4 linked regions of the Caenorhabditis elegans genome follow. The protein of the gene in region 4 interacts with the protein of the main gene of each other region in a pairwise test. Each region holds a gene or a part of one and is shown on either strand. Other genes may lie near its edges.

Region 1 (6,213 bases), on a different chromosome or scaffold from region 4:
ATCACTTTGATAAGATAATACTTGTATTTCATCCAGCTCTACTATGTTTCTCAATTTCTGTTCATATGCAACCTTTAATTTATTCAAATATACTCTCCCACTCTCTCATTTACTCATTTAACTAATCATACTTTTTTTCAGAATTTCCATGTTGCGACGTAGCTCGAGGCACGCGGACCAAAGAAAGAATGGTGCACAGTTGAGAGCAGAGGAAGAAGCCAACAAGGTCAAATTGAGATTAACCGCGGAGAATGAAAAGTTGAAGAGTGAAGTGGAAAAGTTGAAGAAAGATCATGAAGAACTGTCAAGGGTTACCCTGAAAGTCAATACAGAATTCACTATTCAAGAATCACACATGGCACGATTACTGCGAGAAAACATGAGTTTGAAGGAGCAACTTAACGACTTTTCCTTCAAATTGCGATTCAGAGACGATATGTCTCGCGTCGAAGAACAAGTGAAAAAAGAGCAGGGAGTCACAGACGGGTATCGAAGGAGAGTGAACCAATTGACAGAATTTCATGTGAAGAGTCAGGAAGAGCAACGAGGAGAACCGTTCCCATGGAGAACCTGCGAAATTTGTGCTTGCAAGTTTGAGGGAGAAACTATGGATCAGACTCCGCGAGTTTTGGGTTAGTTTTAAATTATTTTTTTCTAAATTCAGTAGAAAACTGAAAATTTTCAGGCTGTGGTCACACGATGTGCATGGGATGTGTTCAAAAAATTGTCGGGCAAGGGTACATCAAATGCCCTTTCTGCCGGATTGTCACAAAAATTGGAACTACGCCACTCAATAATTTGCCAAAGAACTACATTGTTCTTAATATGTGAAAGGATTCAATCTACTGTTTATTCATAATTAAACGTATCATCTCACTCATAATGAAACGAAATCTTCAAATAAAAGTCATGAAATCCTTGAAATCATCCATTCCATCGTCTTGTTCATCCGTTTCATGCCGCTTCATATGTAACTGCAAATGATCACTTCTCGAAAATTTCCTGGAGCATTCTTTGCATGCAAACGGTTTGGCTCCAGTGTGCTTACGGTAATGGCGGGTTAGCTCGTCGGATCGTGCAAATCGCCAAGAGCATCCAGGCCATTCACATGGATACGGCTTTTCACCTAAATGAGAAGATTATTATCGAATAGGTAATACTTTGGCAAGCTGCTGACTAGGGAATGTTCAAAACTCCAAGTGGCCATTTGGTGTGAAACTAACATCATTTGAAAGCTGAGATTTTCAGCTTGAAAAATCTTAATTTCTGCTGCGGATATCAAAAGTTGTTGAAAATTTACGACCGGATCTGTATAAAACTGACTTTGGCTATCCGTTTCTCAAACCTCAAAATTAAAAAAAAGTGCTCAACTAACATAAAAGTTGAAAACTTTACATCTTACCGTTTTAGAAATAAAAAGCAAGCTAATTTCCCAAGAAGCAGTTGCAAATTTATAAATTTTTAGATTTTCGCAGCAAAAAAACATTTTAAAAAGCTTAGCTGACGATCTCAGTGTCAGATCAAATCGCGACTCTGAGTTTCGTCAATCACCAGATAAACCAAAATATAATAGATATTTCAGGCGTTCTTCCTGCAAGCAACTTTCGCATTTTCCACACTTTCCGAAGCATTAGGAATTGGGTAAGTTATTATTTTCCAATTTTCCCGCAACCCTCCTAATTCTTATATCCATAGGCCCACGCACTTAATTGACAGTTTATTGATACTTTACAACTCCTTATTCGATACTTCTAAAAGGGGGATGCCGCGAAGTACCGGACAAGGCCAAATATTGATATGGACTAACATAACATAGCAACAGTAGTTGATTCCTGTGCATTCGTTACAAAAAGTATCTAGTGATTGATGAGAAGCGTGTTTGTCAACGGAAGTATCCCGTTACACAGAACAATGTGCCGACGAGTGCGCGCTGTTCACGACATTGAAGAGGAGGATATGATTAATTATGTATAATGAGGTTCTGTAAGCTACTCACCACTATGAACACGCTCATGAGCTGTTAGATGGGAACTTTTTGTGTAGACCTTGCCGCAACCTGAAAATGAAATTCAAGCTTAAGCTAAACACGCTTGCAACTTACCTTGATAAAAACACTTATGAACTCTTAATCGATCCAAAGTAGCCTTATCCCTCCGTTTACTCGGCACCTTTTTTGGTTTTTCAGTGCTCTGCGGATGATATACTCTTCCACGATCTTTTAAAGGAATCCTGGGATCTTCCTCGTCTTTACCCGACAAATCGCTTGAAAATGAGTAACTGGATACAGACGCTGCAGGCGATGGAACGAATAACTTGGCTTCAAACGGATATGGTGTCGAGCTTCCCGAGTTTTGATGTTCCATTGGAGTCATCGAAGGTTCCATGTGATTGAGGTGAGTTTCGGAATTATTCTGTTGTGGAAAGTCATGGGAAAAATTGAAAGAACTGTGCGGGCCTTGTGGAATATTTTCTTCGAAAGTTTGTTGGACATGGTTATGATGATTGTAGTGCTGCTCGATGACCTCAAAAAATAGAAAATTGAATTTAAAAACTTCAATTAAATACAAAACCTGATTATTAACAGGTCCCGTATGAAAATGATAGTTGTGAACATTGATGACTGGAGCCGCAGCTGCTCCATTATAATGATGATGAGATTGTTGGTGATAATGCTGCTGATGATGTTGGTGATGGGCATTTTGGTATTGAGACTGATGATAGTAACCATTTGAACTAGACGGGACTATGCTAGAGTACATCTGGAAGGAGTTGTAGATGAATAACGATAAATTGAAAATCACCAAAAAAGAGTGAGACTCTGAAACGAATTTTCAAAAATTACATTGTAACAGAAGGTCAAATAAAAATTAGCATAGGCAAATACTAATTCATTTTGTGGTTAAAAAAAGATGTAATGCCTGAACCTAATTGTATGCATAGTTCTAAATTTGTAGTGAAAATCTTAACCATAAGCCAAAGTAAGGCAACTTCTACTAGTAGATAGTACAAATATTCCAACACTACAACAACACCATGTAATACCGTTGTGCATACACACACGCACAAATGTGACGTCTTCATTCTCGTTCAATACATTTCAAGTCATAAAAGTCTTGCGTTCTTCTTTGCCTACTGCTTACTTTTCGATATTTGTTGTGAATTTTCAAAGCGAAAGTTGTAGTTCTTGTGAATATGTTTTTACGTCATATCACAAGTGTATATACAAATAGGGGGAATTAGTAGCAAAATTTTTGGATCTTTTTGATATTTAGAGAATTCACACTCAAACCGAAATATTCAAGAGATAAGAAAGTTAAAGGTGGAGTAGCGCCTGTGAGAATTTTGTCTCACTTATATTAAACCAAAGCGACAAAATATCATGATGCAACACTCCTAAAAATTTTAGGTTTCTCATAATTCCAGGTCAAAGTTTTGGCACATTGCCAAAATATTGAAAAATATGAGCCTTTGAGGAAATTCAATGCAGTGTCGCATGTTCCGACCCCTATAATTTTTTAAAACAAATAATTAAAACAAAATGAAAATATAAAAAATGCAAGAAATTTTTTTCCGACTTCTAAAATTATGAGTGGCAAAGAATGAGCACTTGTCAGTTTTTGACAGTAAATAGAAAAATTTCAAAATTTTTTTGAAAGTTTTATTTTGATATTCGGTCATTTTTGACACCATAGGAGTTGTTTTTAGCATTTTCCCCAATGGCGCTGCTCCATTTTTAAGAACTTTCAAGTTCGAAATTCTGGGAACTAACTACTAACTATAAGGCTCTAACTCTCAATGCACTGAACACGTAGGAACTAACTCACTAAAAACAAAATACCTATGTACTCACCACAAAGAACAAAACAATGTTAATGCTAGATTACAATACGTGCCTTCATTAGTAGAGCATCTATCGTGAAACTAAAGAAAAATGACTAATGTTTCCACAAAAATAAACATCCTAAGCGAATATACACACCTCTTCTGGTCTACAAAAAAGTGAGCTCCCCAGGCTCCAAAAAAGGGGTGTGGTGACACCAGACCGGTCACTCCTATGATAACAAACAGAAAACTTGAGCAAACTTTTCTTTCCCCCCAAGAATAGAAAATACAGAAAACTTGAGCATGTGTAGATGGTGGTCATGATATGTTTGATCTAAAGATTACGACACTTTTGGGCATTTCGAAAAAAAATAAACATGTCAAGAAGACGATGGTCAAGCTAGAAGAAAATTATCCAAGAAGGCGCACATATGCCCTGCAAGTGCCATTTTATGATAGCATGTCAAAACTGATAGGCATGGGCAAACAGTAACCAAAAAACGGGGAGGTTTGTTGTTTCTCTGAGAAAGGGGTGGCAGAAAGGTGTGTGCGCGGAAAATGTGTGGAGGGGAGATGGGTGTCATTAATAGAAGAAGGAAGGGAGTTTTTTGGGAAAAGGACATGTGATAAATAATTTTGTTTTCAAAGTTCAGAAATTTTATAGAAAGAACACAAGGCTTTGTAGTGCTCCAAAGTTATGCCGGTTTTGATCAATAGTACAGTACATCACGGGTGGGTGGCAAACGATTTTTCCGGCAAATGGGCAAATTGCCGGCAAATCAGAAATTCTATTTCTATGAAAATTCTATGAAAATTTCAAAAAAAAAAACGGAAAAAAATTCAAAAAGGCACAGTTTTAAGTGTTTCCGTCTTATAAAAAAAATCCCTCTAAACATTTTTGGCAAATCTGATATCCATCAAATTGGCAAACCGGCAACTTGCCGAAAATGAAAATTCCGACAAATAGGCAAACCGGCATTTTGCCTATTTGCCGGATTTGCGGACAGTCAAGTCACAACCAAGATTTGGTTTTAAATCTGAAAATGACGTGCGGGACTAAAAACAGAAGGGAAATGTAGACGCTAGATTGAAAAAAAAAACTATACATATCCACAAACAGTATCACTTACAGTACTCTAAAATGATACCCCAATGCTGTGTTTATCCAAACGTCCCCCCCCTCCCACCTCCAATTTTAGTACCCTCTTCCCTACCGCCTCGCCTTGCTACAGTCGGGAAGTTATGATTTTACGGGTGCGAACAATCCAGTAAGTGGGTGCGGAAGAGGAGGAAGCAGTGATTACTGTTAAAAGTGCCGACTAGGTATGTAAACGTACTTGAGAATATTGTTTGGACGGGCGGTCTCCTTTTTTTCAACTGCGGCGGGACCATATCAGTTTTATGATTGATTAATGTTTGATATATTGAGATAATGGAAAGGTGTGTTCGACTGGTAAAACTCGCAGTATGGTTTTAACTGAGGCAACTCCAGCAACCTAATTCTTTGTAAAAATTGTAACCGTCAGGATTTTGAGTTTTGACAAAAAAAACTAATAAAAATATTAGAAGATCTCGAAGAGAATTCAGATGTGAGTAAACAAGTATGTACATATGTTCTGAAATATATTTATATATACACATATATATTTACATAGACATACAAATTTAGTGGCAATGTATCTTTTTGTCTGACACTCTACATTTTTGCGTGTTTAAAAGTGCAAGATGAGTCGTAAACAATTTTCATTCGATTTTTGGAATCTGGTTTTTAAAATTGAACAGCAAGTAATAGATCGTAAAAGCAACACAAACCAATAAGGACGTTGCAAATTGACCGGAGATTTCTGAAATTTGTTTTTTTTAAATTTAAATTGTTGATGTACTTACTTGCAATAATATGTCACCAGGACCATAATCAAATTTCCAGTAGTCCCAATTACAAAAACTGTACAATAAATAACGAAAAGGATAATTAGAAGAGGTTCCATTTTTTGAGACAACGGAAGTGAGAAAATACAATAACTACAATCTATTATATAGGTATTTTTTATATCCTCTATAATTTGTATTATGAAAATAGGTGAATTCTAAGAATCCCTTAAAAAATATATATAATAACTTTAGTATAATAGTCGTTAAAAATATTTCTAGTTTTCGCAGATAAGTACATAAAAAACAAGACTATCTAAGAATAATCAAAAATCTTTTCCAGAATTATCTTGTTTCTAGATATGATAATCTATTACATATAATAGGACCTCATTAGTCAGCTTATCTTGAAAACGATACAATATACAAAATAACTCCCAACACAATCGTAATTCTGACCTTCTTGGTTGCATTTTTCGCGCTCCATTGACAATCGCCTGCCGGAGATGACGCGTGTAAAAG
Region 2 (8,582 bases), 710 kb from region 4:
ATTTTCTGATTTTTAGGCAGTTTTTTTCATAATTTTTTCATGATTTTTTGATGAAAATCGGAATTTTTCGCTTAAAAGATGGGCAATTTTATTGAATTTTTCGATTTTTAGGCAGTTTTTTCATAACTTTTCGCTTAATTTTCAAATTTTTAGGCGGTTTTTTTTTCATATTTTCAGAAAAATTTTTCAGAAAGAAAAATGTTTTTGATTTTTTTTTTGCTGAAAAAACTGCGGATTTTCTGATTTTCAGGCATTTTTTCATAATTTTTCACAATTTTTTTTCAATGAAAATCGGTATTTTTCGCTTAAAAAATGGGTAATTTTATTGAGTTTTTGGATTTTTAGGCAGTTTTTTCATAATTGTTCGCTTAAAAAATGCGAAATTTTGTTGAATTTTCTGATTTTTAGGCAGTTTTTCAAAATTTTTCACGATTTTCTGACTAAAAACCGGAATTATTGAAATTTTCAGGGTTTTTTTTTCCAATTTTCACGAAAAATGCTCACTGGCTCTGGATATTTGACATATCTTGTTCCTGTTTTTGAAAAAAAAATGGGTCTCGTAGTCCGTGAATTTTGAATTGATTTTTTGCACAGATTTTGGGTAATTTCGCTGAAAAATGTGTATTTTATGGGTTTTTGGGCAGTTTTTTCCATAATTTTTCACTATTTTTAGGTAAAAATTCGGAATTTCTGATTTTCAGCCAGTTTTTTTTTCATTATTTTCTCCGATTTTCTAATAAAAAAGCGAATTTTTCGCTGAAAAATGCGAATTTTAGTCCAATTTTCTGATAAAAATCCGAAAATTCGCAGATTTTTCGGGTAATTTCGCCCTAAAACTTAAGTTTTTCATAATTTTCCCCGATTTTCTGATAAAACTCCGAATTTTTTCCCTTAAAAAAGTGGATTTTCGTATTTTTAGGCAGTTTTTTTCATAATTTTTTGAAAAAAAGAGGAATTTCTCGTATTTTGGCTAAAAAAATGACGAATTTTTTTTGATTTTCCTGAAATTTCATTGATTTTTTTTGAATTTCTCGTCGGATTTTCCACAGGTTTTTTAAATTTTTTAAAGGATTTTTCAGTTGATTTTCTGAGATTTTTTCACTAAATTGAGAATTTTCGTTCGATTTCCTGGAAATTTTTTTGACATTTTTCAAATTATTTACTGATTTTCTTGCCTCTTATTACGGGTTTTCACCGATTTTTAGCGAAAAAATCTACCGATTTTATCGATTTCGTATCTCTCGGATTTTCTTGAATTTTTGCAGCGATTTTTAGTATTTTCGGTGAAAAAAATGTGGATTTTCTAAATTTTGCGATTTTTTTTTAATTTTCGGATTTTTAGGCTGTTTTTTTTTGTTTTTTTTTTCTAATTAATTTATCCAATTTTCAGCTGGAACTCGATCGTTATGTGCCTCCGCGTGCTCGTACCGATGGCTCTCCTCGCCTGGTACTTTACCAACGAACATCCGAACGCGCTCCGTTGGAAGAATCCGGCAATGCCGAAGCAGTATTCATACGATTTCTACCGTGCCTACCCGTTCGACGATCCACGCAAATACCCAATTGTCAACTATTCGTTTGATTTGGAATAGAAAATTCCTTAGTTTCGGTTGTTTTTTTTTTGGTAGTTTTCTCCGTTTTCTCCTTTTTTGTACTATAAAATATTCGAATTTTATCATTTTTTTTTTTGCCTTTTTTTTGCCCTTTTTTCAGCGTTTTTAACGCTTTTATACCTATTAATTCGTTTTTTTTGTTGCTTAAAATTGCGCCTAATTGAAAAAAAAATTCCTAAATTTTATATGATTTTTTGAAAATTGAAAAAGTCTCAGTTTTCACCCCTAATTCCTATTTGAATTACCGCTAATTGGATTTGTTCGATGGAGCGCGCTTGCACGTTTTTAAGTTTATTTATTTTATTTTTTGTTATTTTCCACCGATTTTCAATTTTTTTTAGTTTTCGGTGTATTTTTACATGAATTTTAGAGAAAAAGTCAAAATAAATGCTAAATTTCGATTAAAAAGCACGCTTACAGGCGTAAAAATGACAAAATTAATTAATTTCACTGATTTCGGTCTGTACGCATGGTTTTTATTCGAAAATTTGCATTTATTTCGACTTTTTCTCTAAAATTCAAGCAAAAATACACCGAAAACATTAAAAATCGGTGGAAAATAACAAAAAATAAATAAATTTAGAAACGTGCAAGCGCGGCGCTCCAACGAACGAGTTCAATTGGCGGAAATTCAAATAGGAATTAGGGGTAAAAACTGAGATTTTTTCAATTTTCAAAAAATCATATAAAATTTAGAAATTTTTTTTTGAATTTGGCGTGTTTTAAAGCAATTTTCCCACTGGCGCTACGCTACTCCACTTTTAATTAATTAATTATTTGGAAAAAAAATTCAGAACTCGGCGCTGGACGCCCCCGCACAAAATGCTCTTCCTCGATGATTTTTTAGAAAGTAAGTGGTTTTTTTTGTTGCAAACTTTTCCCCTATAAAAACACCCAAATTTTCAACGTTTTCCAGTGCTCGATGAGCTGCCTGCCGAGCTGAAGGAGAGAAGCGATGAAATTCGGCGAATCGACAATGAAGTTGAATGTAAAATTTCGAAATTTTTCTGAATTTTTCCCTTCATTTTTTCGAATTTTTAGCCCGTCTAAACCGTAATCGAGAGGCGATCAACGATTTTTTCGAGAGAACCGGCGTAAATATGCCCGAGGAGCAGAGAAAGGAGCGCTGCAAGGTTTTGCAGGAGGTGAATTTCATGAAAATTCCTGGAACTCGAATTTGGCAGCAAATTGACACGAAAACGCAGGAAAAAGTTGATTTTTGCCACAAAAACGGCTAAAATTCGTGAAAAATGAGAAATTTCGCTATAAAACCCGTTTTTCTAGCTTTTTCGTGAAGAAAAATGAGAAAAAATGGGATTTTTTTGTACTTTGCCTGATGTCATTTTTTCACTTTTTAAGCTTTTTTTTCCCACAAAACACCAAAAGTGCTCAAAAATACTCAAAGTGAATGACGTCTAAAAACACTAAAATGAGGTCGAAAAACTCAAAAAGTTGCTCAAGATCCGACCAAGTTGTAACCTTTTCGGAAAAAAACCTAAAATTAGAATTTTGTCGTTTTTGATCGTTTTTTGAAGCTTTTTCTTCACAAAAATAGCTTAAAAACGCAAAAATTAGCCCAAAACGCTTATAAATCTCAAAATGCATCCAATTTTTCAAAATTTTCCGCTAAAAATAAAGGAAATACCGAAATTTTCAAAAAATGAGCATTTTTCCGCGAAAAAATCCCAAAATTCCGCTAATTTTTCAGAATTTCTCGGAAAAAAACGGTCGAAAAAATTCCTTTTTTCACTGAAAATCTTTTTTAAAAAACAGGACAAAAAATCGCAAAATTCAGACAATTTTTCGGAATTTCTTGTTAAAAAGTGAAAAAAAAGCTGAAAATTTAGCTTTTTTCACGAAAAAAAATTGAAAATTCAACTAATTTTTGGGAAAAAACATTTACATTTGCATTTTCTAATTTTTTTTTCGTGGTTTTCTAAAAAAAACTTTCAAAATCTCAAAATACAACCAATTTTGCCGAAATTCTTGGAAAAAAACCCTAAATTTGCATTTTCTATTAATTTTAAAAGCTTTCTCCCCCAAAACTACCTTATAATCCCAAAAAATCAGCCAATTTTTCTAATTTCTCTTTAAAAAAAAAGCTGAAAAATTAGCTTTTAAAAAAAAAAAAAGCTTAAAAATCCCAAAATGCCAATTTTCCAGATTTTCTCGCGTTGAAAGTGAAGGAAATGCCGAAATTATAAAAAAAAATTAGCTGTTTTCACAACAAAAAAAAAGTCGAAACCCCCGAAAAATCATAAAATCAACCAATTTTTCAGAATTTCTCTTTAAAAAGTAAAAAAAAGCTCAAAAATTTGCTTTTTTTTTTCAATAAAAATTTTAGAATTCAACCATTTTTTCAAAATTTCTCGTTAAAACGTTGAATAAGCTCAAAAAAAAGTTTTTATCACAAAAATAGCTGAAAAATGGCAAAATTTCTCTTAAAAAATGAAAAAAAAAGTTCAAAAATTTGCTTTTTCACAAAAAAAAAATTGAAAAAACCCAAAAAATTGCAACCAATTTTCTTCAGGAATTCTCCACAATCCGCGTGCTAGCTCAACGCAAATATCTAATCGCCGAAAAAATGCAAGAACTCCTCAAAAAGTACAAAGTTCACTTGGAAAAGGAGAAAACCACGTTCCAGTGTGAAATGGAGGCCGACAATTCAGGAGTGACCGAAATGATCGAAAAACGATATACCCAACACGTCGAATCTCTGCTCACAGCGAGAAAAGAACGAAAACGTCGTCATCGCGTGGGCGGTGGTGGTGGTGGTGGAGGATCGTCGTCGAGAGCATCGACAGTCGCTTCGGGACCACTTTTATCGAAAGAATCAAAGGACAAAATTCAGCGGATCCTTCAGGAAGGTGTTCGTCTTCGAATGGATCTTTCCGATGAGTCGGCACAATCGGCACTATCATCGGCTATACCATCACCAGCGCCACGTGGGCGCCCGCCAAAGATCGCAAAGGATCAGCTGTTGCTGTCGTCGGCGGCGATGGTGGTGGCCAGTGATGATTGTCTGACGCCAGTGCCACCAACACCGACGGCTAGGGTGAGGAGCTAGCTGAAAATTCGAGAAAATTCGCAAAATTTGGAGCCCACCTACCACGGCCTCCTGTTCAAAGAACTGGCGAAATTTCGAATTTTAGCTAAATTTTGAATTTTCAAATAATATTTTTCAAACATTTTTGAATTTCAGCCTAAAATCCGCAAAATTTGATCGTACAAAAACCTCACAAAATTGATAAAATTTTCCCGTTTTTTGGGTGTTGTTACAAGAAAAATTTGACGAAATTTCGAGTTTTAGCGTAATTCGTCTCTTTTCAACTATTTTTTTAGCCTAACCGCCACATTTTTTAATAAAATTTACGAAAATTGGCCGTTTTTGGGTCATTTTGGACCGTTTTCAGCTAAAAATTAACTTTTTGTTTCGAATTTTCAAAATTAAACGAAATTTGGCTCTTTACTGACTAATTTTTAAGCCAAACCGCCATGATTTTCTGGAAAATCAGCCTATTTACAGGAGGACTAACGGTTTATTGACCCAAATTTTGTGCTCAAATGAACGAATTTCGTAATGAAACTGCTCGAAAATGTATTTATGGCGGTTCAAAATTTCGAAAATGACACTGATTTTAGCTAAAATCTCGAATTTTGGTCATTTTTCCGTGTCACAGCTGTAGGAAGTTGGTTTTTTTTGGAATTATCATCCTTCATTGCATATTTTGGTAGTTTATCTCATTTAATTTCATTGATTATGGTAAATTTAAAGCCAATAGGTAACCAAAAATCATTAAAATTGGTCGCCTATAGGCTTTAAACAGACCTTAATAAACGAAATTAAATGAGATATTAAAACCAATATATGCAATCAAGAATGATATTTCCAAAAAAAGCCAACTTCGGACAGCCGAGACACGGAAAAATGACCAAAATTCGAGATTTTAACTCAAATCAGTGTAAGTTTTCGAAATTTTGAAGCGCCATAAAACATTTTTGAAGAATTTTTGAGCAATTTCAGTATGAAATTCGTTCATTTGAGCACAAAATTTGGGTCTATACGTTCCAAATCGTCCGAACCGTTAAATAGGCTGATTTTTCAGCCTAACCGCCATTATTTTCACGAAAATCAGTCGTTTTTGGAGTGAAAAAACTAAAAATTCTCTAATTTCTCCAAATTTCAGCGCCGCTCAAACACAAATGCTCTCCGCGGCACAGTCTCCATTCCAAGTGCTCTTTCATCAATGATGAATCGTGGTGAATCGACATCCCGCTTCTCACCGAATCCCTCCGAACGTAGTTGGTCAAACGCCGGAATCGACGAATCATCACCGACGCCGACGACAAGCCTACTGATGACACCGACGTTCTCCTCAGGACCGCATATCGTCGTTTCGCCGACGACTCCAGTTCTCCAGAATTCGGCGTTTGTGGTGTCTGAGAGCCGTCATGGTAGAACTCGGAAGCTGACCAGTAGAGTTCAGGAGATGTTTAAGGAGACTCTACAGCGGCAGCGGAATCATGGAAATTCAATTATAGCACTACAGGAGAGAATGAGTGCGGCGAATCTGGCGGCGGCGGCTCAGCACGCTCACGCTCCGACGAGCTCTTCACCACAATCACCACTTCCGGAGATTGAAGGAGCCGCCGAGGATGATGATGAGGAAGGACCGAGTTATCGGATTAAGCGGAGCCATCCGATGATGGCTCCGGGATCGGAGGATGAGGAGGATGAGATGCATTGGTGTTTTTGTAATGAGAAGAGCTATGGAGATATGGTTCAGTGTGATAATCGTCATGTTAGTGTGGGCTTTTTTAATGAAGGGAAAAATTGAATTTTTCTCCGAAAATTGAGCGAAAAATTCAAATTCCCAGCAGAAATAGTGCGAAAAAAAAATTAGATTTTTTTTTGTTGTTTTTTATTACCAAAAATTGATTAAAAAATGTGAATTTTCATCAGAAATAATGCAGAAAATTACTGTTTTTTTTTCTTCGAATAGTGCGAAAAATTGAGTTTCCATCCATTCAAAAAATCAAAAAATTTGGATTTTCACACGAGAAAACAGTGCGAAAAATATATAATTTCTACCTGAAAATTGCAAAATCATGTTGCTATATTTGCGGTGAAAATTCACTTTTTTGGTTAGTCAAAGATTATCAAAGATCTTATTAAAAAAAAAAAAAAAAATTTCCATTCAAAAAATCGAAAATTGAGCGAAAAATTCAAATTTCCAGCACAAAATCAATAATTCGTAATTTTTGATGAAAATTCATATTTTTTCATGGAAAATTGTACAAAAAATTCAAATTTCCACCAAAAATTGAGTTTAAAAAGTGAAATCAGAAATAATGCACCGAAAATTAAATTTTTGTTTCAAAAATAGTACGAAAAAAGTTAATTTTTAACCGAAAATTATTTTTTTTTTAATTTGAATTTCTACCACAACAAAATGCTTAAAAATTGTTAAATAGAGTGTTTCCTTGGAAAAAATCACAAAAATGAAGTTTTCACCAAAAAATTGCGAAAAATATATAATAATTTCTACCAGAAAATGCAAAATTTTGCTTTTTTTTACATTTTTATCGAAAAATTTCACGAACATTCAGAAAAATTGAATTTTCACCAAAAAATTGGAAAAAGTTGCAATTTATATTATTTTTAGGCTAAAATCAACAAAATTTCTGCGTTTTCAACGGTTTTACCAAAAAATGTGTTACAAAAATTCGAAATAGTTGAGCGAAAAAATTAATTTCCACCTAAAAATTGCAAAACTTTGCTATATTTTTGGTGAAAATTCGATTTTTTGTTGGTATTATTATCAAAAAATTTTACAAAAAAAATAGAATTTTCATTTTAAAAAAATCCCGAAAAATTAAAATTTCATCAGAAAAATATTTTTAAAAATTGATTTTCCACAAAAACATGCTCTTGAATTACAAAAGCAACTGAAATAATACGAAAAATTTAGATTTCGAAAATTAAATTGAATTTCCACTGTAAGTATTTCAAAAATTAGAAAAATTAAATGGAAACAAACACAAAAAAACATAAAACACGAAAACATGATTTTTAAAAAATTGTTTAAAATAATTACAATGTGGAAATTTCATTTTTCGCACTGTTTTCGGTGAAAACTCAGTTTTTTTCCACAAATATTACAAATTACATCCATCCATCTGAAATTTACACCAAAAACCTTTAAAACAAAATACAGAAAGTCTGAAAATTTCAACAAAAAATTCTAATATCTAAATTTAAAAAACATTTCTACCAAAAATCTGATAAACTGAATTTTCATCGAGACCATCACCACCAAAAAACTAATTTTTGACCAAATTGAGTGCGAAAAATCGAATTTCCATCAAAAATATTATAAAACATTTTGTTTTCTTCGAAAAGTAATGCAAAAAAGTAAATTTCCGCCACACAAATATATTTAAAAAAAGTTGAATTTTCATCAAAAACTACAAAAAATAGAATTTGCCTGGAAAATTCTAATTTTTTCGAAGAAAACAAAATGTTTTATAATATTCTTGATGGAAATTCGATTTTTCGCACTCAATTTGGTCAAAAATTAGTTTTTTGGTGATGGTCTCGATGAAAATTCAGTTTATAAGATTTTTGGTTGAAATGTAAATTTTTTATAGCACTTTTGTAGCTATATGTTTTTTAAATTTAGATTAGAATTTTTTGTTGAAATTTTGGAAAAAATTATGGGAAAATGGTAGATTTGTTTGTTTGTTTTTTTTTGTTGGAAAATAAAAAAAGTAATAAAAACCACAAAAATATCAGTAAGTTTCAACCTAGATTAAAAAAATAGCTACAAAAATTTGGAAATTAGTAAAGTTGCTAGAATTTTTTAAATTTCTAATTAATCCCATTTCATTTGCAGTGCACCCTCCGCTGGTTCCATTACCCGTGCATTGGAATGGTCGAGCCTCCGACTGGAAAATGGTACTGTCCGC
Region 3 (7,377 bases), on a different chromosome or scaffold from region 4:
ATTACATTGCAAAAATGAGCGCTTATTTTGACGAATCAGCAATTGTGAAGCAAACTTTTTTAAAAAGTATTTTTGACATGAAGTAAAAAATTTTTAGAAACTTGGAAATTTGACAAAAGCGTGGCAATTCAAATAACACATTAGTCAGAAAATCAAAAATGCACCAATAAAATCACTATTTTAAAGACAAAATTAGTGATTAATAATGACTTTTTTTCGTTATTTTTCTATAATCCACCTTAAAGCATCAAATCAATAAAATCAAATTTCAGTTCGCAATCAGAAGGCCTCCATTCTACATGCTTAAACCACTTCGAATGATGCATGCTCCACTCTCTCCATATGTTCGGCCACAATACAAAGTATCTGGACTCTTGCTCAATAACAGCACAAGCGTGGCTCCGTTATTCGAATCGCTTCTCTCCAAATACGACAAACTACGATCAAAGAGAGCCTTCATCGACAAGTTTGAAAAGATTGACAATTTCTCGCTGGATATGATGGACGATGCAATGCACATTGTGCAAGACTTGCTGGACGAGTACAAGGCGGTCGTACAAAAGGACTATCTGACAAGAGGGCTTTAGATTTATTATTATTTATTCTCGCGGGATTCTCATTCACTTCTTAAAACGGATCTCTGTCGATTATCATATGCTGTGTTTATTGTATTATTTATATCATGTGCTCCTCATCATCATCATAATTTTCACATAAATATTGGTACTCTTGTCTCAGTGGTTGTACTATTGAGGTTTATTTAAATTATTTAGTTATGATTATTGCGCGATAGCAATAGAGAGACATATTGAGGTCTGAAAATGAAAGTGTTTCAAGCTGCACATACGGTCAACAAAACCACCGGGTGAAAAATGAAAAAAAGAGGAAATCGACACGATTTGTGTAAAAGTAACGGGGCAGTGTCTGGAGATGAACAAGACTGGAAAAAAAGGAAAATGAAAAAACAAAAAGTTATCGGTGGGGAGAACGAAACAATGGATAGGTCCGTGAGAGCGCGGGAAATAAGGAAGCTAGATTGATTAGAAGAAAAATGACAAGAAGACCACAATCGGCACAAAAAATTTTGGAAAAAAACATTTCATAGAAACACAACAAGTAGTATACCTAAAACAAGAAGAAAAATGGGAAAAGAACAAAAATTCATCAAATTTTGTGATAAAAATGATAGATACTGTGCCTGGTGAGAGAGAGAAAAAAGATGAAGAGCAAAAAACAGGATCAACCTGAAGAAAGAAAGAGAGAAAAAGAGAAAGAGAGAGAGATTATGAAACGTGGAAAATTTGATAATTGTATTTGTAATTGTAACTCTACATTTGTCAAAAGTCAGGCTCAACGGACGAGCGATGTCTGTGAGGTTGGTGGAGGAGATGTTGGAATGAAATGACTTCCCTCCAAATGACGAATAGCTTCAACAATTGTTTGCATTGATTGAGACAGGGTCAGGCTCGGTTGTGTGCTTCTGGAATTGATGGCAACATATTAATTTTTTTAAAAATTCGAAAAGTTTGCTCGAGAACTATTATGCAGACGTAGAAAATCTCCGCCCTCCATAGCTGGGTCTCGTTAGGTATTTGGCGGCAAATCCGTGAATTCAAACGTTTGTCATTAAATAATTGTACCAATTTTCAGGAGTTTTTCGTCGTTTTTCGTCTTTCGTTGTTTTTATTGGAAAAATGGTTGTTTTTATTGGAAAGTTTTTTTAAAATCAATTTGGCATACGTACCCAGAAAGACGCAAAATGTTCAAACATTGGCGAAACTAATAGAAAAAGTTTGAATTACTGGTTTGGCCCCCCAATACCTAACGAGACCCAGCTGTTGGGGGCGGTCCTCGATTTTACAAGGGGGATTTTTCTACGACCTCATAATAGCAATATTGCAACCTACAGTAACCACAACATTTTTTTTGACTGTATAGAGTATATTATAAAAAAGATTTAATTGAAATTTAATAATCAGCATAAAATAAATTTAAAAATTAAATTTATAACGAAGATTTGAATTCAGAAATTGAATTTTGAAAGTAGATCATTCCACATACAGCCTTCTTCTCTCAAAACAGAAAACTGAATTCATAATTTTTCCCCCATAAAATATACAGAACTCACACAAACGCAGAATTATGTCCCTGCAGATGATGTGGCAATGCGACGGGTGTCGAGTTACCGGTAGACATGGCCGAGGTGACCGCTGCCGCCGCTGTTTGGAACAAAATACTCGATTGAGTTGGAACTGCTGTTGAGAAGATTATTGGAGCGGCAGTCAAAGGTGATGGAGTTGACAGAGATGGTGATGATATTTCAACTTAAATGTTTATATATATTTATAGTCAAAAAGTTTTATTTGAATATTCCAGGGCTTCAAAAAATGCTACCATGCATTAGGCCTTAATACTCTAAATTTCCCAAAAGACCAAATTTTCCAAAAAAAAAATTTGGTAATTTACCAAAATATTGCCTGGAAATTTTGAAACATCTCAAACGTTTCATAGTGTTTTGTTTGGACATTCAATCTTTTTGAAACTAATTTTGAATATATCTTTCCAAAAATTACCTGATATTGGTGGTAGTGGTGTAGGACGGATAACAGTTGTCTCTAAACTTGGCAATGTTGGAGGCGGATGGAATATACGTTGAGACGCCAATGATTCAGAAGAAGTTGGACTACCGTTCAGTGTCAAAAGAGACAACGGAGTACTTGTTGTATCTTGAAATGATGGTTTCCTTTCCGGTGATTCTCGTAACGGAGTAGGAAGAGCCGATGAAGCATATGAAGATGGCAATGTGAAACCACCAGAACCATTAGATCTTGGTGTCACTGGTGACGATGCTTGCGATGATGTTGTCGTCATTTGGAGCAGCTCACGGAGCTGAATTACTTGACTCTCCAAAGCCTTACGGGCGGCTCGTTCAGTTTCTAATATTGTTTGGAGATGTGCTATTTGCGCTTGATGGTCAGCGTCGTGGTGATCTTCTGAAACAAAATTTAATTTGAACAGCTTATATTAATTTCAAGTTTGAACTGATTTAGGGTAGGCACGATTCAGTAAGATTTAGACTTCTTCAGGCCATTCTAGGCTGGAATTATTTTGTGGAATTTCAGAATTTCAGATTATCCAGATTTTTGTTGAAACACAGTTTCCATTCATCCTACTCCACTTTTCAAAAATATCAATAAGATATAAACTTACCTTCAAGTTTGAGTTTTTTGGGTTCTCCACCGTCAGGTATATCTTCTCCTTTGTGTCCCAAAAGTTGATGAACCATATCCGCAGTTTGCTGCAGAATAGCCGCCTTCGACAGCTTTTCTCCCTCTTTTCTGGGAAGTAAGGCTCTTAGAGCCAAGAATCCCGCATTGATGCTCTGCATCCGCCGCCGCTCGTTGCAATTGGCAATTTGCCGACGCATTCTGGATCTATACTATATAAAGTTACAGTACTCACCACCTTTCAGTGCTATAAAACTAACCTTCTGTCGGGGTCGAGCGACGTTGGTGAAAGTGGCGCCGGTTGGGATAGTGACCGGTTGGCGAGCATTGGTGCATGCCCAATCGTCGAGGTAGGCAAGACAGAACGCAACGAATTCTGCATTCCAGAAGCCGTCAAATCAAATGCCGAAGCAGCTGACATGATGGATGGTGGTGCCATTCGTGCATTTGTCACGGAATTCCAGTCGGCGATAGTCACGGGCAATGCACCTGTACCCGAACTCATCATCTCCTCGTCCTCTTCAGTTAGATCAAATCTGCAAAAATGTGTTCGTAGATGAGGTTGTTCAAGAAGCGAAATTTATCAAATAATTTGGGGCCAATTAACTTCAACTTTCCAATTAATGCCTTCTCAAGACGCAAGCTTTTTCGTGAATATCTTCATATTTTTCTATTCTACAACTACAGTACAGTACTCCTTTGAGGATAGAGAAAAAACATATTTTTTAAAAATTGGAAATTCACAAAGTCGTTTTAAATTATTATAAATGCATTTTAAAAAAAAATTCCAAAAGTGATAAAACACATTTTAGACCTTAAATTTGAACTTTGCCGACAATGGGTAACATTTGAACTAATATTAAAATAACTCTAGCTTTAGTTGTTCTGATTTTTATATTGATCTTTTCATCTACAATTAGAACCTATCAATTCAATAAATGCCACGATTCCACAAAAAAAAAGAAAGAAAATGGGATAAATTAGCTTCAATTTAACATCTCAATATTTCTGTTCCAAAAATTATGAGAAATTATTAGTACAAATTGCCACATGCAGTTTTAGAATTGAGGAAAAGTTCATCTGCGTCTCTATATTGTGTTTTTCTCTAAAAGCCAGGTGTTCTTGTTGCGTGTCACTGAGAACGAATTGAAAGCCATGGGAAATTATTTGAATTTTATTTATTGAAAAGTTACTGTAGACTTAACACTTCACTTGGAAACTTGATAGGTTTAGAGGGAGCAAAAAAAGTTTATTTTCGAATTATTTTCAGATTTTAATACTTTCATCAAATGAGAGTCTGATCCTGGATATATATATATATATAGTAGGCAGGCACGTCTTCAGACCGCCTGCCTAGTCGCCTAGAAGGCGGGAATTCAACCATATTATGATTATAAGCAAAACTCGGCTTAGACTTATGTCAATACATTACTTTTCGAATGTTTCTTCTTAAAACCATGAGCAAAAAATGTAGTACAAAAATCCTTACCCATCATCAATGATGATTTGATCTTCTTCTGCGCTATCCGAACGAACCATTTTCTACTATTGATCTACCTGAAAAAAATTTTCTTTTTTGATTTTTGAGGTTCTCGAATTGAAATTCTATTTGTTCCTTATTCTCTCTTTTTCCGACAAAAGTTTCCCGAAACCCGTAACTCTTATCACCTTTCCCCCACTATGTTGGCTGACTGGCTGACATGCCATTTTCTTTGTAGAATCAAAGAAGATAGGCTCTTTTCCCAGCTGAAAATCTTTGTGATAAGCAACACTTGGGGGCAAAGATAACAATGATTATACCACGAATTATTTGAAATAAGAAATAAATACTTACTGTTAGTACTACGGAGACTACGAAGGGACGATGGGAGCCGTCTGGATTACCTGAAACTTTACAAAATTGGAATTATTTGCGACAAAAAACCAACAGCTGATGCTTCACGAAAATTCTTGAAGGGGAAAGATCGAAAAAAAAAAGAGTTTGTCAGTGTGTCATATGGCATGTTTTACACAGACACATGAGGGGAAAGAGGAAGCAATCGAGGGTCGAAACACACCGACTTATAATTCAAAATCGGGCAGTTCGTCTATTTCATACGGTAGGTACCAATGTATATGTAAATTAAATGAAAAAGGCGTGAGGAAGAGGGCAGTTTCAGTGTAGCAGATGAAATAGGTTTTAAATGTATAGAAAATAGAAAAACTGAAGGGTTTATAATTGAAAAAATGAGAGGGAAAGAACAGGTGATCCATTTTCAGGTGTTTAATGCAACAACTTTTACTTAAAATGTTTCATGATACTAATTTGAATGATCAGAGTTTGGGAGTAATCGAAACATCAGAACATTGCCAAAATTGGAATTAGAAACCGAAAGTTTCTTGTAATGAAATTATTTTTAACTGACGATGAGCTTATCTCGTGAAGCCGACAGAGTCCATGTTTTAATAACAATCAGTTCTCTATAAATTTGCAGAATCACAAAACGTCTTTCAAAAGTTACAAACGGACTTGCTCAGATTCTCTCTTGATAAAATATGAAGAACCAAGAATAAATCGGTCTTAAAAAAAAAAAAAGAAAGAAAAAAAAAAGAATTTAAGGCTAGATTTCAAGATTTCACCCCAAGAAATGAAATATGAGCTCTTGATGTTTTGATCTTTCTACTTTCTTAAAAAACCGAGAAAAAATGTTGATTAGCGATTTATCGGAGAAACGAGAGAGCGATGAACACACAAACTGATTCTCAAACGGAATGGAGAAGACAAAACAGAAAAAAATATCAACAAAAAATTGGTTCCAACTTCCTTGAGCTTATAGACGATAGCCAATTGCACTTACCATATGTTTTTTACAATGAGGGCTCCCTGGAACCCATTGACAAGTCAACAAAAAGCAGTTGACCAGTTAGTTTAAGAATTCTTGGTAATTACGAAAAGTTAGTTACTTCTCACATAATAATCATAAAACTAAAAAAGAAACAAAAGTTTGATCAGCTGTAGTGTGCAAGTGTACGGGATGATCTAGTTGGTCAAGTTTGGCATTTATGGGAGAACAGCTGGGCACATAGAGCAACACGCAAAGTATCTAAAGTTAGAAAACATTTGGTAGTAGATTTATGAAATACTTAATAGAACATAGGTTAATAGAGTCTAATCGTGAAAATATTGGAGATTTCAGAGGAAGATTTCTCAATTTTTGGAGGCAATTTCCTGCCTAAATTTTTGTGTATAACATACATATAAAGTTCGTCCATAGTTTTGGCAAAACTTCGGAAAAACTTGGTCAAGATTTAGTTGAAACCGCGTTAAAGGTTGGGAACAATTTTTCATAGTCATACTCACTATAGTTCTTATAAGATCACAAAACATCACCAAAATCGGCAAAGAGATCAGTTCAAAGGCGTAGTAAAAGAGAAAGACACTGAACAAAACGACATCGAGAACTATTCGGACGGTAATGATCTGTTATCATTCAAAATAAAGGTTAAGGGATTTTGTTGCGATCTTCCCCATCAACCGATCCAAGAAACATTTTCTGAAGGGATCCTGAGAATTAGAGACAGATGGATGGATGGGGAAAACACCTGATGGCGCGGCCCCCAGTTTTGTTGGTTGGGGTCACAAACAGCTGTGAGTGGAGTGAGAGAGGGAGAGAGTGATTTAAGAAGATTTGGACGCAACGGAGAAACAGACGGAGAAAAGTTTGCAGTTCGCGTCTCGTTTCGTTTCGAGACCTTGTCTAGCGAAGGGGCAAACGTAAACGCTCGTTTCCGATGATACGGTAGGCGCGAGCCAGACAGTGAGTGAGATAAGAGATAAAATAATTTATCGGGGGGAAGACAAAGAAAGCTAAAAGATAAAAAGAAACATAACAACATATGGAATCATAACAAACTTGAGGCAGAAAATCAGAAATCTAGGAAGAACGATATGATGGTCGAGTACAGTAAGATCATAGAGGTAGACCCCCTCTAAAATTGTGGGGACTTACTGTTTTCTACTCCCGCAATTTTTGGAGGTCAAATGGAAAGAGGGTTCACCTGAATACTCGTAATAATGGGTACTATATTAATATTATTAACTTTTTCATAGATTTTTCCAAACAAGAGGAAACTTGTTGATCAAAAAAATGGAACTCTTACCATATGGAAT
Region 4 (8,339 bases):
TCACTTCTCTTTTTTTTCATTCGCATCTTCTCCATCTTGATCCAGAGAGGGGCAAGTCGATGCCGTTTCGTGTTTGTTGTATTGCCAATTGATCCTAATCGCATTGATGCAATAGTCTGGCATTGCTTCTTCTTCTTTCGGCAAAACCTTTTCATTTAGTCCGGTTCCACACGGGCCTCCTTTTTTGCCCTTTTTGCTTTAATTTTTCACTTTTTATAATGCGTGTGTGTGTGTATATCTTTTCGCTTGCCCCTCTAATACTCACTTTTGCGCATCACCATCTTTTCACTCATTACAGTGGATTTCTGAAAGAAATGGAAACGCATGTTACACTCACACCTTTCGCTAGCGTCTTCATCTCTGAATCCTTTCGTTTTCGGTCACTCAGCAAACATGTTACCTCTCTCTCTTTCTTTCTCTGTCTTTTTCTGTTCCATTTGTTACGCAATCGGAATAGAAAAGCAGTTCCAAACTGCCCGTTCTTACCCGCCCTTCCAAGTTTTCTCTCAATCATTTCCCCTTCGATTGCCTAATCTTCCAGTTTGGCTTCTTCATTTTCCCTTAACAATTTAGAATCACATTTTTCTGAGCTTCATCTAATATTTAAATTTGTGCCAAGCGTTCCTACATTGCAAATCAATTGTGTCTTTTTAGGCTCTAGCTTCAAATTTGAGCTCAGGAACAGCTGATCCATAGTTTTTAGTTTGGATCAAAACCTTCAAAACTTGTGTCTTATAAGGCGTAGGTTTGAGGTAGGCAAAAATATAGTTTTCACTTGATTTGGAGAAACTGAAAATTCTCAAAAATGTTCGTCGAATTTTATTCCGACAATTTTCAACTTACCGACAATTTTGGTGCATGTTTTCAATCTGGATTCAGTTGTTTTAAATATTTAAAATACAAGTTAATGTCTGACAAAGCAAATATAGTTATATGTATTTTTTTTTCAATTTTAATGACAAATATTGGGAGAAAATGCCACGCTAGCTCATTTTTTAGAATTTTTGGACACAAAAACATCAAAAAATTTTTGTAGAGACAATGCATATTTTACACGACCACAGCCACAGTACCCGCAAGTATTCTGATATGTATTTTGAACAATTATTCGATATTTTATGTGTTTGCAAAATTTTCCAAAAAATTGAAGCTTCTGAGTTTTAAATAGTGTCAAAAACAGGCAAGACAATTTCGAATCACTTGTAGGTGCGGTAACTGCAAATTTCAAGTTGTTTCGTAATCCGTACCAGGGGTGGGCAGCAAACGATCCGGCAAATCGGCAAACCGGCAAATTGCCGAAATTGGAAATTTCCGGCAAACCGGCAAATTGACGATTTGCAGAATTTGCCAAAAATTTTTTGCCCTTTTTTTTTTGGAAATTTCAGAACTTCAATTTCAGACAGCCGAATTAAGCACATCCTATGAATATTCCTACATTTATTTCAATAAGTAAGCAAATTCTGTTAAAATAACTAGAAAAAACGGGAAAAATTCAAAATGGCACAGTTTTAAGTGTTTACGTCCTGTAAATAATCCCTCTAGACATTTCCGGCAAATCTGATATCCGGCAAACGGCAAATCGGCAATTTGCCGAAAATGAAAATTTCCGGTAAATCGGCAAACCGGCAATTTGCCGATTTGTCGAATTTGTCGACAAATCAATTTGCCGAACCGCAATTGCCGCCCAGCCCTGATTCTATCGCATTTATTTTTGTGTCAAAAAGCAGAAAACTCCGCAACTGGGTAATTTTATATTTTATAGGGCTCCTAAACATCTTAAAGTTCTTTCAACTGGGGTTTTTGTAGGGAGCATCGCAGAATTTTGAAAATACTGGATTTTAAAATCATGTTTCTCCCTGTTCTATTACTTTTAACTGATATACCCCCTGATCCAATGATCTCCAATCAACTGATCGCAATCACATGCCCCCTCCGAACTAGCGGACACATGAATAAAAATCAGCTGTTAAGTCCATGTCGAACCCCTCGTATCTTGTGTAATAGACTGCTCACAATTCTTTTTTGTTCTTATCACCATCACATGAATTGTCATTTCTCGAGACCGGTTCTTCGCTTCTCTGCGTCTCTCGATCTCTCGCCTTATTTTCAGACCGTGTTTTTTACTTTCAAATTTCAGTTCATTTCAACTTCCCCTCTAAGTACATAACCTCTTCAAATATCAAATATTTTGTGTGTCATAGTTATGTTTAATCTTCTCTCATTTTCACTGTTCTCTCATTCTCGTTTATCCGCAACTGACCCTGAAATTTTTGTGCCCGCCGTGTTTTTCACGAATTTCACAGTTTTCAGGGGTATTGGCTGACCGCGACACATTCATCCCGTTTTTCAGATTTTTTACATATTTAATCAAGTCAGGGAAGGCGCACGATGAGCAAGGTGAAAGGGTGAGATTTTTGACGATACTTTTAGAATTTTCGAGGCTAAAATACAAATTTCCGGCAAATCGGCAAACCGGCGAATTGCTGAATTTGCCGAATTTGCCGGAAAAACGGCTTTGAAAGCTTTTTGGAAATTTTAGAATTTAAATTTTAATCGGCAAAATACTACGACTATTTTAAAAAGTAAGCAAATTCTATGAAAATATCTAAAGAAAATCGCGGAAATAATAAACATTTCTGCCGGAAATGAAAAATTCCGGCAAATCGGCAATTGTCGAAAATTTCCGGCAAATTGTGGTTTTGCACGGTTTTTTTGTTGGAAATTTCGGAATTTCAATTTTAATAGACAAAATTGCACGCATCAAAAAATCAAGGTTTTAAGTGTTTTCGTCTTATAAAAAAATCCCTTTAAACATTTTCGGCAAATCTGATATCCGGCAAGCGACAAACCGGCAAATTACCGGAATTGAAAATCTCCGTCAAAAAAAATGTGCCGACAAAAAAATTGCCGAACGGCAATTGGCCGCCTCTGTACATATATATCGACTAATTATTAAAGAAATATGAAAACATAAGAAATAGATGAAGAATTTGTCTAGTTAATAGGTAGGGAAGTAGGCACGTAGGTTTTTTGTGCCTACATGCCTATATGCATAGTGCATAGGGACAGAAAATCTGAAGTTCTAAAAAAATGCTTAAAAACTTGATTAAAAAGTGTATGATTTTGTGCCTACACAGAAAATTTGACTTTGTTTTTTTTTGTTTAATTCCAAACGCGTAAAGCTTTCAAAAATATTTGTTCTGAATATTATCCTTGCTGAAAACACTTTAAAATATATATTAAAGCTTCCTTAAAAGTTTAGTTGAAACCTCCATTTATTAAAAAAAAGTTTTAAAAAAGTTCATAACTTATTCAGTTGGTGTTCCATTGTGACATGGCTATATATTCTTGTCAAGAATATGTATATCTAATTAATAATTTTATTACCACAAAAAATTCCCTTCAAAAGTGTAAGCTGGAGCAATTTGAAAATGTGCAATTTTTAGAAATTTTTAATTTTAAAAGTCAAAGCAAAATTTTAAATAAAATTTTCATAATTGATATTAAATCAGTTTTTGTGCAATTTGTTAAAAGGTTTAATTGAAATTATTGATGCACTATATTTTACGTGTCACATTTTTTACAGCTAAAGCTGTAATTTTGAAAAAGCTTGATAAGTCTAACTAGTGAGATTAAGTGCACTATTTGTGAACAGAAGAGATAAATAAATATCCTGTTCGTTATCACTCGAACGGTTTTATCAGCCGAGATATAGTGGACAGAACAGTGACAACGCCAAAAACTGGCAATAATGATACTTCCTCCCCTCCCCATCCCAACTTTTTTGGATTATTTCATACCCACAACTTATTTATTTTCCAGAGATCTCGAAAAGTCTGACAAGCGTCCACCATCGTCCATGTCAACTGGTTCAGCTGACAGTGGTGTATTCTCATCGGGAGTTCATGCTTCATCACCTAGTCATAGTCAAGGATCATCATCGCAGAGTGGGCCACCGAGTCCTACTACTCAGTTGAACTCGTTGCTTTTTGAAACTGCTAACCTGATTGCGGTGAATGAGCAATTGAGAAAGGAAATTGCAGAGTTAGTTTTATTTTGTTGCTTGGCTCCAGTTTCTTGCGCAAGTTTTGCCCGAAAAAATTAACTTGGAATTTCGGCAATTGCCGGTTTTGGAAATTTTCGGCATTTGGCAATTCTGTGCAATTGCCGGTTTTAGAAATTATCGGCAATATTGGCAATTTCTGCATTTGCCAGTTTTAGAAATTCTCGGCAATCGGAAACTGCAGGTTTTGGATATTTTCGGCAATTGGCAATTTTGACAATAGCCGGTTCAAAAATTACATTACTTTGAGCTTGAAAAAAAAAAAGTTCATTAAAGTGCATGTTTAAGGTCCGGCAGTTCTGATTTCCGAAAACCGGCAATTCTGACGATTGCCGGTTTCGGGAGTTTTCTGCAATCGGCAAATTTGGCAGTTGCCGAAATTGCCGAAAGCAGAATTGGGCCAAATTTCGGTTAAACTTTGGGCCTAAATGTCTTGCCCAACTGTTGCCCAAGTTAACTTTTTTGTGCCAAATTTGGGCAAGAAGCTATGTTTGAAACCTAAACACCAAACACTGTTTTTCAGAAACAAGCAAATCCAGACGAACCAGATGCGAGCACTCAGATACTCCTCAAATCCAGTCGATCAGCCATTTGTAGCGAATTCGATATCACCACATCACGGGTTTCCACAGTGAGTTTTAATTATTCAAATTGTTAAACCAAAAGAAATTCAAAATCTTTTTGATTTGGAAAAAATGTGAAAAAACCAAATCAAAAACCATTGAAAAAATTCAAAGATAACGTACCAAGTTTCAACGCATGTATCTAAACTATTTTTTGTGATATCAAAAAGTTTTTAACTGCACTAATGTAGCTGATAATGTGATAAATATTTTTGTAGTTGAAAATGCTTTCATAGCGCTTAAAATAACTAAGATGTAAGGTGTCAAAGTAGTGGAAAATTTCCACAAAAAAAAACCATTTTTAGAGTTTCTCCTAATAATTACATTTTCCAGACGCCCCCCTCGCGGCGAACGGCGGATGCAAAAGCCCGAATCTTACAAGACGGTCATTTGTCAGGCATGGCTCGAGTCGAAAACATGCACTTTTGCTGAAAATTGCCGATTTGCACATGGAGAGGAAGAGCTGCGCCCGGCGAAGTGAGTTTTCAAAATTTTTGCGCATAACTTTTGGCGCAGGGGTGGACAATTTGCCGATTTGCCGGAAATTTCAATTCCGGCAATTTGCCGATTTTCGGAAAAATTCAATTCCGGAATTTTATCGATTTGCCGGAATTTCTATTCCGGCAATTTGCCGATTTGCCGGAAATTTCAATTCCGGCAGTTTACCGATTTGCCGGAAATTTCAACTCCTGCAATTTGCCGCTTTGCCTGAAATTTGACGCGCAAAAACCCTGAATATTTTCAGACTGGAATCACGACAAAACAACAAGTACAAGACGAAACTTTGTGACAAGTACACTACCACTGGACTATGCCCCTATGGCAAACGGTGTCTTTTTATTCATCCCGATAATCAGCCAAATGCATATATCAGAGCTGATAAGCTTTATGAGGTTAGTGATGGAGAGGTGGCCTAGAAAATTCAAGTCGGCTATCTTTTGAAACTAAAATGTATTATCTAGACTAGAAATTTTGGATTTTTTGCCCAAAATTGCGGTACCCGGTCTCGACACGACAATTTTTACTAGATTTTGAAACTACACTATTCTTTAAAGGCGCACACCTTATTGTATATTTGCTTCACCAACAAAAATATTTCGCGTCGAGACCAAGTACCGTACCTATGCCGCAAAAATCGCAAATTCCTGTAATTATTCAAAAACTCCAATTTTCAGGTCTCGCAGCGCCACGCACTCGCAGATTTACGGGATCACGTGGAATCACAGATTATGACAGGAAATACGAGAAACTCGTATAATCAACAGCCGCCACCGATGGGCGGTCTAGAAATGCAATCTTCACCGATGAAATCGAGTTCTGACTCCAGTCATATGCGTTCTCCAATGGCTCAGATGAATTGTGAAAGTGAGTTTTTTAAAATAATTTTTTAGAAAAAAAACAAGTTTCAATAAATTCCTTGAAATTTTTTTTTCAGCCACGCGTCCTCACCCTAGCTGGCCGTTGGAATCTTCGTCCTTTTTCTTGCCACCCGAAATGTCTTCAATCAATAATAATAATTTGATGAGCCCATTTGAGACGCCATTTCCCAACGGCTCCACGGGAATTCAACCACATTTTGTGACAGGTTAGATTTATGGGATATTACGGGAACACAAAATTCTGAGAATGCGTATTGCGCAACATATTTGACGCGCAAAGTATCTCGTAGCGAAAACTACAGTAATTCTCTAAATGACTACTGCAGCGCTTGTGTCGATTTACAGGGCACAGTCTCCTCCAGTGGAAATTTTGGTTTGTTGGCGCACTTCTCGTGCATCGCGTGCAAAATTGAGAAATTTCCGAAAACGTTCAATTTACTGTTTTTCTTCATATTTTTCATAACATAAGCTTTGGTGGAAGATTACTTTTCAAATGAACATCAAATTCCACTAGAAAAATGATGAAAAATATACGAAATATGAGAAAAACTCAATTTTTAGCGGTTTTTTCTTTTTATATCAGCGCTTTTATTTTTGAACCAAAATCAAAAATCTTTTTTTTTCCACCTTGCCCTTAATTAGCTTTACAATTGATACGTAATTAAAAAGTTTGAAATCGATTTTAAACCCGTGAAAACTGAAGGAAATCACTTTTCAACGGTAAAATTTTCCCACGCTCACGAGAAACGCGCAAGCCCCCTTGTTGGGTCATTTCCAGGAGGCTGTGCAGGGCTCTAGATTTTTGAAAAGAAATTCATTTCGAAAATCGAGCGCTACAGTAGTCATTTAAAGGATTACTGTAGTTTTCGCTGCGAGATATTTTGCGCGTCAAATATGTTGTGCAATACGCATTCTCCGAATTCTGTGTTCCCGTAATAAATTATTCCCCCATTTTTGTGTGAAATTTGTAATTTTTCTTGAAAAAACTTGTGAGCTTGAATTTCTCAAACTTGCGCGTCAAATACGAGGTACTAGGTGCAGTGAACCACAGAATCCGAATACTGTGCAAACACCGACACAAAGCGTCATATTTCACTCGCAAATTTGAAAGATCAATAATGGTTTTTTTTTTCGTGGAAAAAACACAAATTTCAATTTAAAATTAAAAAATTCCGAATTTTCAGCAAAACGGAGAGCAGCCTTTCCTCCAGTGCCTTCCAATTTCCAACAAGACGATGATAATATGTCATCAATTCCAGGATTCGACCATCTTGCAGAGGATATGGCTAAACATCTTGAATTGTGGTGACATTTTTCAGTTTTTTTTTAATTTGAAATTTGTTTGTCTTCCTTGTCTGTGAGTATTGTTCAACGATTAGTTACTAATAATATTTGAGTAGCAAGTGGTCCTAAATCCTTTTTTTTAAAGATTTTTAAATTTATAATAAAAATGGGACCACCTGATACACATCTCACTAATATTTTTTTCGCTTCTTTTTTTGAAAATTTTTTATCTCCTAATATTAATTATTTTTATTGCTCCCCCTAAATAAAGTTTTAATTTTATTTCACACAAGGGATAATACACGTTGCAAAAAGCGCAAAATCCTAAGCTTCTTTCTCTAAAAATTTTGGATGAGGTTGGTTCTTTTCTTTTTTTTTGGGAGGGAGAAACGGAATAAAACCGGAATATGGAGCAAAAAAGAGACGGGAAAAACGAAATTGATGCATACTGACTACGAAAATCAAAAAGAAAAGGCATCTAGAAAGTCGTGTGAACAATTCTGAAACAGGCAAATGTACAATTGAACGGGGACTTTTTGCAAAAAAAAAATTTGAAGGAATAAGTGAGTATTTTCGATCGAGATGCTCCGCACAGCTGCTCACTTTCCGATCCGTTGGCGGACCTTGTTGTACTTGTCCGTGAGCCGGTCCACTCCTGACGCGAATCGTCGATAGCCATTTTGCATGTGAGCAGCAATCGCCAAGACTACGTAATAGGTCTGTTGAGTCAACTTCACTCCGTAGAGAATCACGTCTTTTGTCACGTTGTAGAGCAGAACCTGAATAAAAACTGTTTTGTTTTTGAATTCAAAAATTTATCCAGAAATTTGTGCGAATTTAAGGTTTTGAAGAAATAGTATTATTTAGGGCTATAAATTCTGCTATTTCTGCGCAAAATATTACGGTATCCGGTCTCGACACGAAATATTTTCTTGAAGCGCGGAGGAAAGGTGTGCCGCTTCAAAGTGTACTGTAGTTTCAATATTTCAA

Evidence for each region.
Region 1: the proteins of moe-3 (region 4) and klf-2 interact in a two-hybrid assay, tested with the Caenorhabditis elegans proteins (one large-scale study listed by BioGRID).
Region 2: the proteins of moe-3 (region 4) and ing-3 interact in a two-hybrid assay, tested with the Caenorhabditis elegans proteins (one large-scale study listed by BioGRID).
Region 3: the proteins of moe-3 (region 4) and hlh-11 interact in a two-hybrid assay, tested with the Caenorhabditis elegans proteins (one large-scale study listed by BioGRID).

The regions. Positions count from the first base shown.
Region 1 is NC_003283.11:20,683,454-20,689,666, reverse strand, and holds klf-2 (Kruppel-like factor 2), read right to left. Parts: upstream 3,985-6,213; 5' UTR 3,969-3,984; intron 3,938-3,968; 5' UTR 3,851-3,937; intron 2,760-3,850; coding exon 2,571-2,759; intron 2,523-2,570; coding exon 2,102-2,522; intron 2,057-2,101; coding exon 1,997-2,056; intron 1,127-1,996; coding exon 897-1,126; 3' UTR 837-896; downstream 1-836. Other genes in the region: F53F8.3 (RING-type domain-containing protein), read left to right, coding at 149-632, 686-831. UniProt on the Caenorhabditis elegans protein: Probable transcription factor which regulates lipid metabolism.
Region 2 is NC_003280.10:13,873,627-13,882,208, forward strand, and holds the start of ing-3 (Inhibitor of growth protein), read left to right. Parts: upstream 1-2,407; 5' UTR 2,408-2,435; coding exon 2,436-2,463; intron 2,464-2,529; coding exon 2,530-2,601; intron 2,602-2,654; coding exon 2,655-2,758; intron 2,759-4,143; coding exon 4,144-4,668; intron 4,669-5,800; coding exon 5,801-6,415; intron 6,416-8,509; coding exon 8,510-8,582. Other genes in the region: ndub-8 (NADH dehydrogenase [ubiquinone] 1 beta subcomplex subunit 8, mitochondrial), read left to right, coding at 1,391-1,592.
Region 3 is NC_003281.10:9,619,887-9,627,263, reverse strand, and holds hlh-11 (Helix-loop-helix protein 11), read right to left. Parts: upstream 5,118-7,377; 5' UTR 5,062-5,117; intron 4,997-5,061; exon of another isoform or gene 4,854-4,996; intron 4,785-4,853; 5' UTR 4,767-4,784; coding exon 4,717-4,766; intron 3,764-4,716; coding exon 3,488-3,763; intron 3,440-3,487; coding exon of another isoform or gene 3,435-3,439; coding exon 3,211-3,434; intron 2,994-3,210; coding exon 2,574-2,993; intron 2,325-2,573; coding exon 2,129-2,324; intron 1,940-2,128; exon of another isoform or gene 1,791-1,939; intron 1,481-1,790; coding exon 1,351-1,480; 3' UTR 736-1,350; downstream 1-735. Other genes in the region: tbg-1 (Tubulin gamma chain), read left to right, coding at 273-587. UniProt on the Caenorhabditis elegans protein: Transcriptional regulator. Component of a feedback loop involving atfs-1, atgl-1 and hlh-11.
Region 4 is NC_003280.10:13,159,705-13,168,043, reverse strand, and holds moe-3 (CCCH-type zinc finger protein moe-3), read left to right. Parts: upstream 1-2,310; 5' UTR 2,311-2,388; coding exon 2,389-2,405; intron 2,406-3,822; coding exon 3,823-4,044; intron 4,045-4,586; coding exon 4,587-4,694; intron 4,695-5,019; coding exon 5,020-5,163; intron 5,164-5,431; coding exon 5,432-5,579; intron 5,580-5,861; coding exon 5,862-6,051; intron 6,052-6,121; coding exon 6,122-6,271; intron 6,272-7,249; coding exon 7,250-7,374; 3' UTR 7,375-7,629; downstream 7,630-8,339. Other genes in the region: F32A11.1 (Mitochondrial import inner membrane translocase subunit Tim21), read right to left, coding at 7,949-8,128. UniProt on the Caenorhabditis elegans protein: Zinc-finger protein that may play a role in oocyte maturation and fertility.